3 linked regions of the Caenorhabditis elegans genome follow. The protein of the gene in region 3 binds, or shares a complex with, the protein of the main gene of each other region. Each region holds a gene or a part of one and is shown on either strand. Other genes may lie near its edges.

Region 1 (4,637 bases), on a different chromosome or scaffold from region 3:
AATCATTTTCCATAATTTTGTCATTTTTTTCCCATAATTTGAAATGAATTTCTCACTTTCCTATTTTCGCTATTCTTTTCCGGTTTTTTCGGGGGGAAATCCTCGAAAAAGTGTAATTTTGCACTTGAATATTTTTTTTTTTAATAGTTTTTCTATTTTTTAGCTGAAAATTCAATTTTTAAACGTTTTTTCACATAAACCAACGTTTAACAGAAATTTTGTTTTAAAAATCGGTAAAAACCGAATAAAAAGTGAAAATTCGAAGAAAAATTTAGAAAAAAACAATTTTTATTCAAAAACTCTAATTTTGCTGTAAAAATTTGGAAAAAACTTATTTTCATCACATTTTTAGTCGCTAAATTCAATTTTCAGTCGAAAAATTGAATTTTCAAGCGAAATTTTGAATTTTCAGTCAGAAATTCTGCTAAAAATTGCAAATTTCATGAATTTTTCTTCAAAAATTTCATTTTTTAATGCCAAAATCCAATAAATTCCACAAAATCATAATTAAAATTCGAGTTTCAATTCCAAAAATTCTGAATTTTCCACAAAAAAAAGATTTTTTCCGCACTTGGTTGCTCACACTACAAACTACACAATTTTCTAGCCTCACTCAACTTTTGGTGAGGCTTAAAAAGTTGTAGTTTGTAGTGTCGGCCTCAACCAAATGCATTTTTCGAGCAATTTTAAGCCGAAAAGTCAGAAAAAACTCAACTTTTTGCCGAAAAACTTTGAAAAAATTAGATTTTCATAACATTTTTAGTCGAAAAATGAATTTTCCCGGTGAAAAATTAAATTTTTCAGCGAAATGATTGTAAATTTCATTTTTTTTCTTGAAAAGTCTAATTTTTATGCGAAAATCAATCAAATTTGAAGAAATAATAATTAAAATTCGAGTTTCATTCAAAAAACTGAGAACTTTCCCCAAAAAATTAGTTTTTCCGGAGTTGGTTGAGGCTCACACTACAAAAACTACAACATTTTCTAGCCTCGCCCAACCTTTGGTGAGGCTGAAAAAGTTGTAGTTTTTGTAGTGTGAGCCTCAACCAAATCCATTTTTCACTCAAAATCGAGCAATTTTGAGCAGAAAATCCATTTTTTCCGTGAAAAAATTTAAAAATTCGTGAATCATCAGGTTTTTAGAATTATTTTTAAAGTTATTATCGTAATTTTTTCCAATTTTCTACAAGTTTTTAGTCTCACCAAAAGTTGGTTGAGGCTAGAAAATGTTGTAGTTTGTAGTCTGTGCATTTTTTGGTGTTTTCTTCTTAATTTGCACAATTTTGATTCATTGTTTATTCGGAAAAATGGAAATTTTATCGATTTTCAAATTCAAATTAAATAAAAATTCAATTTTGAGACTAAATTAATGGTTTTTTTTTCGAATTTTTCAAAATTTCCGTTTTCTTTTTTTTCTCTGAAAATTTTCTAAAGAATATCAATAGACAGAACTCATGAATTTTCAAAATTCAAAATCTCTAAAACTCAAAATCGAGCAACTTTGAGCAGAAAATTCAGAAAATATTCAATTTTTTCGTGAAAATTTCTTGAAAAATTCGTGAATCTCCAGGTTTTTAAAATATTTTTCAAAATTTTTTATTGTAATTTTTTCCAGTAATGAACAATACACATCATCACACAAATGGGTATCGAACGGAAAAGCCAAAAAATGAAGAAGATCTAGAGGATCCTTACGCTAATCTCTCGGATTTCTACAAAAATCATCCGGCAGCACGGAATGAAGGTAGCGAAAATCGAAAAAAAAAACTTTGGAATTTCACTAATTTTTCATTTTTTTCATTTTTTCAGCATGTTCGTCAGCTTCTAATGGCGGCTCTAAAAGTGTGAAAATGGAGCCAAAAGTGGAAAAAAATGAAGAATTTGAAGAATATATTGGTGATCCTGTACGATTAGAAGATATGGAACCATTTGCAAGACCATCACTTCGAGATGATGCACCACTTTCATCTATTTTACATCCGGATCTTGATGGAATTGATCCGAGGTACTGAAAACCACAAATTTCTGTTGAAATTGACGTTTTTTACCGGAAATTTCCACGAAAAACTCAAAAATTCTATCAAAAATCACTGAAAATTGGGAAATTTGACAAAAAATTTCATTTCCTGCCGAATCCTGTAATGTGTAGTATGAGATGTGTGTGGTATAAAAATTGACAAATTTTAATTTAATAACATTAAAAAAAATTTCATTTTTCTCTAAAAACTTTATTTTTTTTTCCATTTTTACAAACTTTTTTATAAAATCACCCGAAAATTCGAATTTTCTTCGGAAAATCTATTTTAAAAACTCTGAAAATTGCTCGAAAATGACATTTTTTGAATAAAGTATTCCAAAAATGCTCAAAACGTGCTGTTTCTTCCAAAATTCCATAATTTTCTTTTAAAATTCCGCAAAATTTGCTTGCCCTTGAAATTGAAAACTGAAATTTTTTGAATTTCCCGCCAAAAGTCGATTTGGAAAGAGTTTTTGCTGGAAAAATCAAAAATTTCGACAAAAAATCGTAAAATGGGATTTTTTTTTCAAAATTTTTCGAAAAAAAATCGAGTAAAAGTGACGATTTTTTTTTCAATTTTTGTTGAATAAATCGAATATTCAGTAAAATTTTCATTTTTTTTTCTCGAAAAATTGATAGAAATTCTAATTTCGTTGGAAAAAACAAATTTTCACTTTTTTTAAGCATGAAAAGCGCCATTATTTCAAAAAATTGGCAAACATTTGCCGAAATTCGAATTTCGCGCAAAAATCGAATAAAAGTGACGATTTTTGTTGGAAAAATCGAATTTTCACTGAAATGTTGGGTTTTGTTTTATTCGAAAATTGAAAATTGAAATTCGAATTTTGCTCCAAAAGTCAGTTTTCCAATGAAGTTTCATAAAAACACACAAATACACAATTTTTAAGTCAAAAAACCCGAAAATTGGCAATTTCTGCAAAAATTCCTTTAAAAAACTCAAAAATTCACTCAAAAATCGTTGAAACCCGTGTCACTTTTCCCCGAAAAAACCCACAATTTTTCCACACAAACCCATGGTTTTCCTAGCCATCAGAAATCTCATGTAAAACTCGAAAATTTGCTTTAAAATTGTTAAACCTTTTTTTCGAGCCAAAAAAGCCAAAAAAAGCCTGAAAATTGGCCAATTTCTGCAAAAATTCCAAAAAAAATGGTTGAAACCCGTCATTTTTCCCCTGAAAACTGGTTTTTCTCGCCGAAAAACTCGAAATTTTGATGTAAAATTGCTAAAAACTGCTAATTTCTTCTAGAATTCCATAATTCTCTGTTAAAATTTCCAAAAAAATTCCGAAAATTCGCCAAAAATTCACGCAAATCACTGAAAACCCCCATTTTTCCGCAAAATCCTTTAATTTTATTTTCAGAATCTTCTTCAAAGACTTCAATCCAAACAAAACTCTTCGTTTCTCTCGACTTTTTGCTCAAAATATCAAACATACGTCCCGTGCCGAGATCTGGTGGGCTTCCCGAACCTTCTCCAAACATCAACGCAAAAAAGAGCCCGAAGAGCCCCTCGCTGATGACGTCATCGTTGGAGCCAAAAAGCTGAAGCTTAACATCATTGAGAAGGTGCCACGTGTCATGTTGGCTGACGATGAAGAAGAACGAATGCGGAGACCGATACTGACGGATGCAGAGGAAATGGCAAAGAAAAATGAAGAGGGTACGGTAGTTCAGCCGTGGAGAACGGGTCCCGCCAAGATTTGGTATGATATGATGAATTTGCCGATGACTAGTCAAGCTGTTAATTATGGATTCAAACTGAAGGTAAAAATAATGAAAATTTGCAGAAAATCGGCTGAAAATTGCTCAAAAAAATGGAATTTCCTTTGAAAAACTGACTTAAAAATGGCTGAAATTGGCTAAAAATGATCAAAATTAAAGTTTCCTGGTAAAAAATACACTGAAAATGGCTGAAAAATGGCTGAAATTCGCCAAAAATTGAAGTTTTCAATAAAAAAAACCCTAAAAATCGCACTAAAAATCTGAAAAAATTACCAAAAAAGCGCAAATTTGACACAGTTTGCTCAAAAAAATTTGGTTGAAGCTAGAAAATTTCGTAGTTTGTAGTATGAGCCTCAACCAAAATTGAGAATTTTAAATTGGTTGAGGCTAAAAAGTTGTAGTTTGTAGTATGAGCCTCAACCAAAATTGAGAATTTTAAATTGGTTGAGGCTAAAAAGTTGTAGTTTGTAGTGTGAGCCTCAACCAAAATTGAGAACTTTAAATTGGTTGAGGCTAGAAAATGTTGTAGTTTGTAGTGTGAGCCTCACCCAAAATTGGTTGAGGCTAGAAAATGTTGTAGTTTGTAGTGTGAGCCTCACCTTAAATTGGTTGAGGCTAAAAAAGTTGTAGTTTGTAGTGTGAGCCTCAACCAAAATTGGTTGAGGCTAGAAAATGTTGTAGTTTGTAGTGTGAGCCTCACTCAACAATATATTTTTAGTTGAAAAACGTGATTTTCAGTCAATTTTTGATAATTTTTAACTAAAAATTCCTGAAAAATATAATTTCCAGCTCAATTCCGACAATTTTCCGGTTATTTTCACGGCTTAAACAGCATTTCATGAGTTTTCAGACAATTTTCGGTCATCTTAGACAATTT
Region 2 (7,683 bases), on a different chromosome or scaffold from region 3:
CGACGCTCAAAGACTATGTTCGATTGGTGCAACACGAGGTTGTGCTCAAGTAGAGAAAAAAATACCGAAATTTCAGTGTTTTTGAGAAATTTTGAAAAAAAAATTGCCTAATTTTCTGAATTGTAACTCATTTTTCTCGATTTTTCCTGTATTTTTAATATCTAATTCTGGTTTTTTTGCACTTTGCCAATTTTTTGTTGTTGAATTTTTTCTGAAAAATCTGAAATTTTTGGCTGAAAAGCTGAAAAAGAAGCTTTTTTTTATGTCTAGCATTTCGTTTAAAAATGAGAAATAATTATTATTTGACTGGAAAAAAGTGATTGTTTTAATTTGTGGAAAAATAAAATTAAATTTAAAAAAAGAAAACGAGAAAAGCAGAATTTTCGCTCCTTTTTCCATGAGATTTCTTTAGTTCAGATAGTTGTATCGACTGCCGGACCACCGTATGACATCTTTTCACGGATGAATGTTCTGGAAAAAAAATGAGTTTTTTTAGGAGAAAATTGGATAACTTTTCAAAATTTTTTTAAATCGTATAAAAATTGATTTTTATTGGAATTTTTTAAAATTAAAATATTAAAAACTACCATTCGTTTGAAAGTTTTTTGAAAAATTTTTAAATCAGTTTTTTCCAATAAAAATCAATGTTTAATACGGTGTTTTTTAAAAAAATTTTTTAAACAAAAAAAATCGCTACCCTGTGAATCGGCTATCCTGATTGACTAAAAGATGTAGATCACGAGTTGTTACACGTACTGTTCGTGGACGAGGTGCTGTCGTTGCGGCGCCCGTGTTTTCCCATCTGAAATTTAAATTTTCAATGTAAAAAAGCGGTATTTTGGTAGAAACTAGCTCGTTTTATCAACAAAAACAAATTGTAAAAAATGAATTTTTTGAAATTGGTTTTCGAAATTTATTTTAAATTGAACCGAAATTAGTTTATCAACTGGAAATTGCAAAAAAATGCACATTTAATAATTTTCCAACAATTTTCAGTAAAAATTTCAAAAAATTTCTTCAAAAAGTGAATTTAGTGGAAGCAATTTAAAAAAAAAGAAAATTATTGGAAAATGTTGTTTTTTTCAACAAAAAAGTGTATTTGTCTAATTTTTTAGAAATTATTTTTTCCCTAATTTTGGAAAAAAATGAATTAATTTTTAATCAAGTTTTAAAAAAACCTTTTTTTTCGAAAAGAGAATTTCTAAATTAAAAAAAAACTAATTTTCAACAAATGACAGTTTCATTACTGGAAGGAGCTGCAAATTTTTTATTTTCATATAAATTTTTATTTCTATATAAATTTTTTCGAAATGTGAAATAAATTTCAAATTTCTCCAAAGAAATTTAGTTTATTCCTGGAAATTATTGGAAAATGTGGTTTTTTTTTCAAAGTCACTAGAAATTTAAATTTTTTTTTAAAATACGTTTTTTTGCCGAAAAGATGTTCATTTGTTTTTCGTTCATTTTTTTCTGTGATTATAAGTCACTGAAATTCAAAAATTATAGTTCTAAAAAATTCTAAAAATTATTTAAAAATCGATTTTTTTTTTCAAAAATTTTTCTCAAAACGTAAAAAATTAATTTTTTGTAAGTGTTCAGCTTTTCTCTAACAATAAATCCAAATTTCGAAAATTTCTTTTTTTTTCTATTTCTTTCGAATTTTTAGTATTTTTAAAGCAAATTTTGTTCAAATTGATTGTATCTTGATTTTAGGCTTAAAATACCGAATAGTTCAACGAAATTTCTGGAAAAATTAATTTTTTGTTGCTTTTTTTCCAGATTTTAAAATTTTTTTCAATTTTTTCAGTGATTTTAGTAATTTTTTTAAACTTCTACAAAAAAATATATATAAAAACCAATTAATGTCGAAAATATTCTTATTTTTTAAACATTTTTCCTTTCAGCTTCTATTTTCACTTTTTCGTAATTTTTTTTGCGAATTTCGCACTAAAAACGAATTTATTCTTGAAAGTTTTATTACTGGAAAGTACTGTTTTTTTTTTTAAATTAAGAACCACAAGAAATTGATTTTATCTAAATTTTAGGGTTAAAATCTTGATCGTTTTAACGAAATTTCTGGAAAAAAACTTTTTTTTCGCTATTTTTCTGAATTTTCTATTTTTTTCATTTTTTTTCAGTGATTTTAAATAGTAATTTTTTAATTGAAAATTTTTATTCTAAAAATTTTTTTTTGTGAAATACAAATTCGAAAAAAACGAAATTTTTTTCCATTTTTTAGAAATTAGTTATTGATTTATTTTATTTTTTCATCGATTTTGCAGCATTGTAAAACAATTTTTTCTGAATAATTTTTTTTTGCTTATTTCTAAATCCAAATCTCAGAAACAAAGGTGTCGGTTTTTCAGTTTTTTAATCGAAAAACGAAACTTTCATTTTTCGAATTTTTGAAAACCGAAAAATCGAAAAATGACACCCTTGGTCAGGAAATTGTTTTTTTTAAATCTATTTTTTAAAAATAATTTTTCTGCAAATTTCACGCTAAAAACGAACTTATTCTTGACAGTTTTATTACTGGAAAGTGCTGCAATTGCAGCCGCATTCGCATCTCGATTCCTTTTCGCTTCAGCATCTTGTCGTTGCATTTCTTTCGCTTTTTCAATCGTCTCTTTTCCACTATTCTTATTCTTGCTCATTCGAATTAGCGACTCTTTTTCTCGACTTTCCCTTAATTCTTCCTCTTGACGATCCAAATCTTCAAGGAATCGAAGTTGCCGTTTGACGTCATCAATTGCCACGTAGTTCTCCGGAATTCTGGAATCTTTTGTAGTGTTTAGGATGGAAAATTCGGATTTTTCACAAAAAATTGTTAGGAAAAAAGCCATTTTTTTATGCTTGCTTCGTGTCGATTTACGGCAGCTCTCCATTTTTTAAAAAAATTTATTCGTGCTTTTTTAAGTTTTTTTTTTTTTTTTTTGCGCGTTTCTTTTATTTTGTCGCTTTTTTGTCAGTTTTTTTTCTGAAATTTTTAAAATATTTTTTTTATATCTCAAAACTCCCGGAATTTTATATTTTTACGTCAGATCTCGACGAACACAGGAGTTTTGACCTAAAAAATTTTCAAATTGACACAAAACAAAATTTCAGGAAAAAAAATGACAAAAAATCGACGAAGATCAAGGAAACTCGTTGAAAAACTGAAAAAAAAAGCTTAAAAGAAATTTAAAAATGAAGAGCTCCCGTAAATCGACACGAAGCAAGTGCGCCCCAATGAGAATTTATCTGGGCGCGCATTTGAAAAATCTCATGGTGTGCATGCACAAAGCGATTTCAAGCTGAAATATAAAGGGAAATTTTTTTTTTGAATTTTTTCGAATAGATATTCGGAATCAGGGGAAAATTGGAGATATTTTTGAAAATATTTCTCAGATTTTTATATTTTTTTGAAAAAAAATTACCGCGTTTCAGCAATGTTTTTTGTTTGGATTTTAAAACAAAATCTAGATGTTTTTTTAATAAATAGTTCGGAACCTTTGAAATTTAAAAATCTTTTTTTTTAATGTAAAATTGTTTTTAAGACGATTTTTCTTCAATAATTTCCTTATTTTTGCTTAATTTTTTTTTCGCTGCCGTATTTTGAAGCAAAATCAATTCTCCTCAATACCTCAAACTCTCCACCCGATGTTCTGCAACTCCGGCCATCAGTGTAATAAGTTCCCTTAAATGCGACTCAACAGCATCTGAAATCGCGACAAGCGCCTCCTCTTCCACCGAACACGATGACATCATTCGTTTCGTGATCCTATTCAGCACCTCATCCGGCTTCAGAATCGACGATTTCAGCGATCCTTCAGGATATTGCCTCGTGGCCGTGGCCGCCGCGGTAGGCTGTAAATTCTCTTCCACCTCCATTTCTACAGGGGGAGCCGGGTGCTGCTGTTGAATCTGCTGTGGTGGGGGAGGAGGATGCATCTGGACCATCTGATGTCCCATCGGCCCTCGTACGGGGCCTTGTAGGCCCATTGGGCTTGGGCCGCCGGGGCCCATAGGCCTGATCATTGGCCGGGCGCCTACAGATACCATATGGGGACCCCCTTGAACCATTTGTGGGGGTATTTGATTCGGATTCGGAATTTGACGCATTTCTAGTGGTGGCTGCTGCTGGGATTGTTGTTGAGGTGGAGGTGGCTGAGGGGGTCCTGGGGTTCTTCCATTGTTGAAAACGTAGCCAGGCGGTGGATTTACGCCTTCAACTGATGCAGTGCCTGGAAATTTGAAAATTAGGGAAAATAGTCCAAAATTGAGGAAAAAAAAAGATTTTTAATCTAGAAAATAGGTAAAAATCCTCATAAATTGCCTGGAAATGCGCCTCAAAATCGAATTTTTGAGCTGAATGTTGAGAAAATCTATAAACATTTTAAAAACTTTAAATTGCAATTTTTCAGCTGAAAATAGCCCTGAATTATGAAAATTGCGTGAAAATTGCGAGAAAATTTGCGGAAATAGCTCTAAATAAAGGGAAGTTTTTAAATAATTGTTTTGCTCAATTTCGTGGAACTCGGATAAATTACCAAAATATACTCCGGAAAAATTGAAAAAGTGCGATAAACTTGATAATTTTTGCTTTCAAAAATAGAATTTTAAAGAAATTTACTGGAAATAGACAAAAAATGTGGAAATTTTAAATTTTAAGCTAAAAAAATTGGTGAAAATCTTAATAAATTGCCTGGAAATGCGCTTGAAAATCGAATTTTTGAGCTGAAATTTGAGAAAATCTATAAAAATTTTAAAAACTTTAAATTACAATTTTTCAGCTGAAAATAGCCCTAAATTATGAAAATGGGTGAAAATCCTTATAAATTGGCTGAAAATCAGGAATTTGCTCAAAATTGTGAGAAAAATTGCGGAAAATCCATATATTACTGACAGCTGAAAATATTTTTAAATAAAGGGAAATTTTTAATTTTTTTTGCTCAATTTTGTGGAACTCGGATATATTATGACAATATACTCCGGAAAATGGAATTTCAAAGCCGAAAAATTGAAAAAATCACCAAAAACAGCTTGAAATTGTTAGAAACTTGATAATTTTCGCTATCAAAAATGGAATTTTAAAGAAATTGACTAGAAATAGCCAAAAAATTTGGAAATTTTGAATTTTTTTCATGGAATTTCTACACAATTTCTTGAAAAATGTAATTCAACGGATTTTTTGCAATTTTTTATGTTAAATTCAAGTTTTTCGCTGCTTTTCAACTCAAATTTTCCTGTTTTTCGATGATTTTTTTTTTGTCGATTTTAATTTTTTTGCACATAAAACCGAACCATTTCGAACAGCATTCCTCAATGCCGGAAGAGTATTCTGAAGGAATGGTAAAAGATGCGGTTGAGCCTGAGATTTGAGCACTTGTTGCAGATTTCGTGTAAACTCTTCAGCCGTCGTTTCCAGATAAATTACGCCCTGAAATATCCGAATTTGTCCGGTTTTTATCGCGTTTTTCGCTCAATTCCTCACTCGAATTAGCTCTTTGACACGGGCGGCCTTGTCCGGCATTTCTGGATCATCGTTATTCGACAGATTAATTAAAGTTTTCAGAAAGCGGACGCATTTTGTCACGTTTTTGTCATCTGAAGCAGCGGCGGCCGCCGCTGCAGAGTTTTGTGGAGTCCCGGGCGGCCCTTGTGGAGCCATTGGCGATGGTGACTGAAAATGCTGCATCTGCTGTTGTATAGGTTGACGAGGCGGCTGCATTTGATGGTTTTGAGCCTCTGAAAATTGGGATTCAAATTTTTTTTCTAACTTTTTTAAATTTTTAAATATTTACGGGGTGCTTCCACGGGTTCCGGAGCCATTTGATGAGCATCTTGGTAGTCGACTTCCTGCTTTATTTGCGGAGGGGCCTGGAATCAAAGGAATAAATTATTGTTAGTTCTTTTTGTTGTTGTAGAAATTTTGAAATAAAAAAAAACAATTACCGGCTCTGGTGTGCTGACTCCTGGCGTTGATCGCTCGCCGATCGCCTTTCCCTGAACGAGTCGAAATCTGGGAAGACTCATGTGTGCTGAAAATGATATTTCTCTCTCAGAAATGTGACAAGGTTTTGAGTTTTCGTGTCGATAATTTCGACGCCATAAAAGAAGAGTTCATACAAAATCGATAATTCCCAGGGTTCAACAGTGTGTTTCCTTGCTATTCCTCCCCACTTTCTTTTGTTTTATTCACATTTTCACATTAAATAGCTAAATTTCCGCAAAATTAGCGGAAAACCCCCTCCGCAACACAGTTTCATTTGAAAATTTACCGGAAAATAGCGGAAAATGGTCGCCTTTTATACTGCCAAGAGTGACCGTACTTTCGGTCGTGGCGAGACCCATGCCGCATGTTTGGAGGGGTGCGTTGCGGCTCGCGTCGCGGTCGCCCGCATTTTCAACTGCGGGAATTTGCGAGATTTGAACGCGATTCTAGTCTAGCTTGCGGTGATTTTTCAATTTTTTAATGATTTTTCAGCGTAAGAACTTTTGAGTTTAGTGGAAATATTGATTTTTGTGATATCACACTCTGAAATACCCAAATTTTCAGTCAATGTATTGTTACATTTCGAAATTTTTATTCAATCTAGTAACAAGCCTACACTTTATCATCGCTAAATAGGATTCTCCATTGTATAGCAGTTCATTCGAATTCCATTTCAAAATTATTGTAAAATGTAGGGGTTTTCTTCTCTAGAATATCCTCCAAAGTTCAACGTGATGTATTGCTGAAATATTTCTTCATCCTAACATGTTCGTTAGAGTCTTCTGTGCGAGGCTTTTCTTTTGATAATGTTTTTTTGATCTGGAAGGTTCCATATTTCGTTCTTTTCCTACTTTTGTCATCTATTTGACCTTCCTTTCATTCAACCTTCCTTTGATAGTTGTATTCTCGTGATTCTCATTCCATTCTTGCGTTCACATGACTGACCCTTTTTATTTATAATTTGTTTTCAGAATGGGTATTAAAGGCGACAAAAAAGCTACCAGCGATCAAGCGCGACTTGCACGACTCACACTGGAAGGAAATTCCGGAAATGAGGAGGACATACAGTTTATGATCAAGACGGTAAGTCTCCAAGCTGGAAATGACGCTTTCCTGAAAATAGTGATCTTTGCATCACGCGAACGCTCGCCACACACCGACATGATGACGCACGTGACTTTGTTGTTTTGAACTTCTCTAGTGTCCGCTTTCAGTGTCAATAGGAATTTCGAATCGATAAGACGGGGCCAGATGGCAAATAAAAGGACAAAAGCAGGTGTCCGCGCTTGAGATGGTGCAGCGAGAGTAAGAGTACCCAGATGTCCTACTCATTTGGGCTAATTAAAGTGTTCGCGCATTCCCAAGAGGGGTTTTTTCACTGCTCATGTCTTTTTCATTTTCAGATTATCGAAACCACCGGATGTACACAAGCACAAGCTGAGATAGCGCTATTGGATACTGACAACAATCTTTACGGCGCAATCGATCACATTCTGGATGCTGGAGATAAACTTGACTCGTGGACTGAACAGAAAGGAGCCAAAAAGGAAAAGAAGAAGCCGGAAGAGGGCAGTTATAACAACAGAGGATTTGTAGCAAGAGGCAGAGGTTCGTGCTTGATTGAAATAGATCAAATATTGATATGTTTTTTTCAGGTGGAGGCACCGGTTTCGTCGATCGAGGAGGCCGCGGGCGATCCAATGGAGCTC
Region 3 (3,082 bases):
GGTCATTTTTAAATTTAAATGCACATTAATCAACGAAATAATGTGAGATAAACTATCAGAATGTGCAAACAAGGATGATAAATCGAACAAAGTCAATTTCCGAGCTTTGCAACTCGGAAAAGTTGTCAAAATTGGCCGAAATTTTGAACTTTTCATCACGAATTTCTTTCATTTGAGCTTGAGCTCCAGCACCCACACTTGGAACGGGGGACGGTTGCGATCGTGCCGGCGCCTCCATTGCTTCCGATGACTAGATTTGGTGGAGTTGTGGAGACCTGATCCTTCGCGGCCGCAGCCGCCGCCTTCTTCATCGAAGTCAGCGAGCTCGAGTCGATCGCAAAGCCGATTGGATCTTTCTTGGCCATTTCCTTCTCCGCCTGAACTTCTGGATCACTGTCATAGTCATCGTCGCGTGTGAATGGCATTGGCATTGTTGGGGGTGTTCTAGAGAAAAATGGGTTAAATAGAACTGAAAATTAAAACAAAGGAGAAGCATAAAATGGCAAAAAAGAGCCACTTGGATAATTGGTATATAGGAAAACGGCATAAATTCATAAAACAGGAAAATAAATGTAAAGCATTATAAAACCCATTGAGGAGTATCATGTTGGTATATTATAAATTAGGTGTGATATGGTGGACGAGTGTTCTGGTGTCCGTATTCTTTGAGAATTTCATCGAGAAGTTCCTCTGTGAGCGTGTATTTTGTGTCTTTCGTTCCTTTTTTCGTCTGTCCGAGACCTTTCATACGAGCCTGAAATTGTTCTTGTAAAAAAACTTGGATTTTCTTTTGCAAATTCTAAACCATACACTTGTCATCGCGTCAAGAATAATATCCGAAACATGTTTTTGAGCCGCCAGCGAGATCATTCTAGTCACTCGCGGATCCGATCCATCAACACCGGCAGACTTCAAGAAGTGCAATGTTACAGAATCGGGAATCGTCGGCGGATAGTCGGCGAGCTGATTGATGAACTCGTGTGTGTCGTCTTGCGATGGATTTTTCTGAACATTTTCCAGCGTTTTCTGCACAAATTGTTGCTGATTTCCGGTGAGAGGCTTGTGCAACGACGATCTGAAATTATTTGTTAATAATTTTTGTCTTGTCATAATGTCATTAACCCTGAACAAAAACAAACCTTAAATTTTGAACAGATGGCTCAAGAGTGGAGTAAACTTGTGGAGCTGCTGCTGGCCGCTGAAAATACTTTAAATCGGTTAATTTTAATCAATTAAATCGATAAAAAACCTGTGGAAGTGCGGGTGGAGGCATCAGGACGCTTTCTGTCGACGAAGAAGGCTCATATTGCTCTGGATCATTCATTTTTGCTGAAATTCGGGAAATTTTTGAATTTTTTTTAGGTTGAAAGATAATTTAAAGCGAGTATTTCGTTGAAAAGTTATTACTAATTTGTTTAAACATATCTTTACAATAAAAATTCGTATTTAAAAGCTCAAAAAGTTCCCCCAAAAACCAATGGCAGCGGCACGAGGGTTTAAACTTTAAAAAAGTCTCGTGGTGCGGCGCTCCGCCCACTTGCAATGTGCGGCGCGCGTTTTCGTAATGCGTGCGCACACAATTTTGGTGAACGCTTTCGTGGCCCTTTTCTGGTAATAAGAGGGCTAAATCAAACAGAATTGGGCGAACGCACGTTGAAAATTTTGATTAAAATTAATTCTTCAATTAATTTAGTTTTAAAAATTAAAGTTTAAAAAGTTTTTACTATTTAATTCCCGGTAATCATCGTTAATTCAAATGTTTCTAGACAACTTTAGCGGTTCAAAAATCAGAACATGAATATTTCATCAAATTCGTAAAGTAGCTGTAATACGCTCCCAAATTAATATTTCAGGGAAATTTTAGAAAAAAAGTCTGTATTATAGGGGCAGAGAGAAACTGTCCAAAAACGCTCCGCCCCCGAACCCGCGGGTCTCGTTAGGTATTCGGCGGCAAAACCGTAAATTCAAATTTTTTTGATTAGTTGCGTAAATTTCGCTAATTTTCAAGCATTTGCCGTTATTTTCAATGAATTATAATGTAAAAATTGATTTTAAAAAAAGCAAATGGTCAATTTCACGTGAATTTTCAAACATCGTTAATGTTTTGGCAGAAAATTCTTTAAAAACAACGAAAAATGCTTCAAAATTGCCAAAATCCCGAAAATAGTTGAAAAAGTTTGAAAAAACCGCTAAATACCTAACGAGACCCATGGTTCAGGGGCGGGGCGTTTTAAATTGGCCGTGGAGCGCGTTATCTCTTGTGATTTTCAGCGACCCAAAACTTTAGGTCTATACCACTCTGGCAGCGTATATCTCGGTTCATTTGGAAAGAATCAAAAAATTATTAACTAGAAAATTTTAGATTTTTAATTGATTAGAATTTTGATTTTTAGTGTACTTTCAATCAGGGGTGGGCGGCAAATTGTCGGTTTGCCGATTTGCCGGAAATGTTTGGTTCCGGCAATTTGCCAGCTTGCCGATTTGCCGGAAATTTTCATTTTTTGGCAAAGCGACCATTTGCCGTTTGCCGGATACCCATTTGGCGGAAGTGTTGAGAGGGATCTATTTTTAAATCGGCAAACCGGAAATTTTTGCAGATTTGCCGAATTTTCAAGAAAAACCACAATTTGCCGAAAATTTTCGGCAATTGCCGTTTTTCAGCAAATTCGGAAAATCGGCAATTTGCCGATTTGCCGGACATTTTTGAATCCGGCAATTTGCCGATTTGCGGGACATTTTCAAATCCGGGAATTTGCCGATTTGCCGGACATTTTCGATTCCGGGCATTTGCCGATTTGCCGGTCATTTTCAAATAAGACAATTTGCCGATTTGCCGGGCATTTTCAAATACGGCAATTTGCCGATTTGCCGGACATTTTCGAATCCGGCAATTTGCCGATTTGCCGGAAAAATCTTTTGCCGCCCATCCCTGCTTTCAATGCAAATTATCAATTTTCGAAAAAAAAATTCAAAATAAAAGTGCAGTGACGTCAAACAATTCTCTTGCAACTATAATTATATTTCGAGAATTGGTGCAAAAGCTGTCATTTTCATGATTCTGCGATCTAGCAGGACTATAAGT

Evidence for each region. Proteins that work in one complex are often made in the same cells at the same time.
Region 1: taf-10 (region 3) and taf-1 share a complex: the UniProt entries of both Caenorhabditis elegans proteins name them as parts of the TFIID basal transcription factor complex.
Region 2: taf-10 (region 3) and taf-4 share a complex: the UniProt entries of both Caenorhabditis elegans proteins name them as parts of the TFIID basal transcription factor complex.

Annotation. Positions count from the first base shown.
Region 1 is NC_003279.8:13,859,859-13,864,495, forward strand, and holds the start of taf-1 (Transcription initiation factor TFIID subunit 1), read left to right. Parts: upstream 1-1,615; 5' UTR 1,616-1,617; coding exon 1,618-1,744; intron 1,745-1,809; coding exon 1,810-2,005; intron 2,006-3,399; coding exon 3,400-3,802; intron 3,803-4,637. UniProt on the Caenorhabditis elegans protein: The TFIID basal transcription factor complex plays a major role in the initiation of RNA polymerase II (Pol II)-dependent transcription.
Region 2 is NC_003279.8:381,165-388,847, reverse strand, and holds taf-4 (Transcription initiation factor TFIID subunit 4), read right to left. Parts: upstream 6,023-7,683; 5' UTR 6,016-6,022; coding exon 5,935-6,015; intron 5,860-5,934; coding exon 5,784-5,859; intron 5,728-5,783; coding exon 5,474-5,727; intron 5,420-5,473; coding exon 5,284-5,419; intron 4,224-5,283; coding exon 3,623-4,223; intron 2,773-3,622; coding exon 2,512-2,772; intron 803-2,511; coding exon 698-802; intron 472-697; coding exon 414-471; 3' UTR 284-413; downstream 1-283. Other genes in the region: R119.5 (Protein-L-isoaspartate O-methyltransferase domain-containing protein 1), read left to right, coding at 1-53; Prion-like (glutamine/asparagine-rich) domain bearing protein pqn-59, read left to right, coding at 6,947-7,057, 7,378-7,582, 7,630-7,683. UniProt on the Caenorhabditis elegans protein: The TFIID basal transcription factor complex plays a major role in the initiation of RNA polymerase II (Pol II)-dependent transcription.
Region 3 is NC_003283.11:4,685,356-4,688,437, reverse strand, and holds taf-10 (Transcription initiation factor TFIID subunit 10), read right to left. Parts: upstream 1,336-3,082; 5' UTR 1,325-1,335; coding exon 1,250-1,324; intron 1,208-1,249; coding exon 1,140-1,207; intron 1,076-1,139; coding exon 811-1,075; intron 755-810; coding exon 623-754; 3' UTR 539-622; downstream 1-538. Other genes in the region: K03B4.2 (HUN domain-containing protein), read right to left, coding at 197-431. UniProt on the Caenorhabditis elegans protein: The TFIID basal transcription factor complex plays a major role in the initiation of RNA polymerase II (Pol II)-dependent transcription.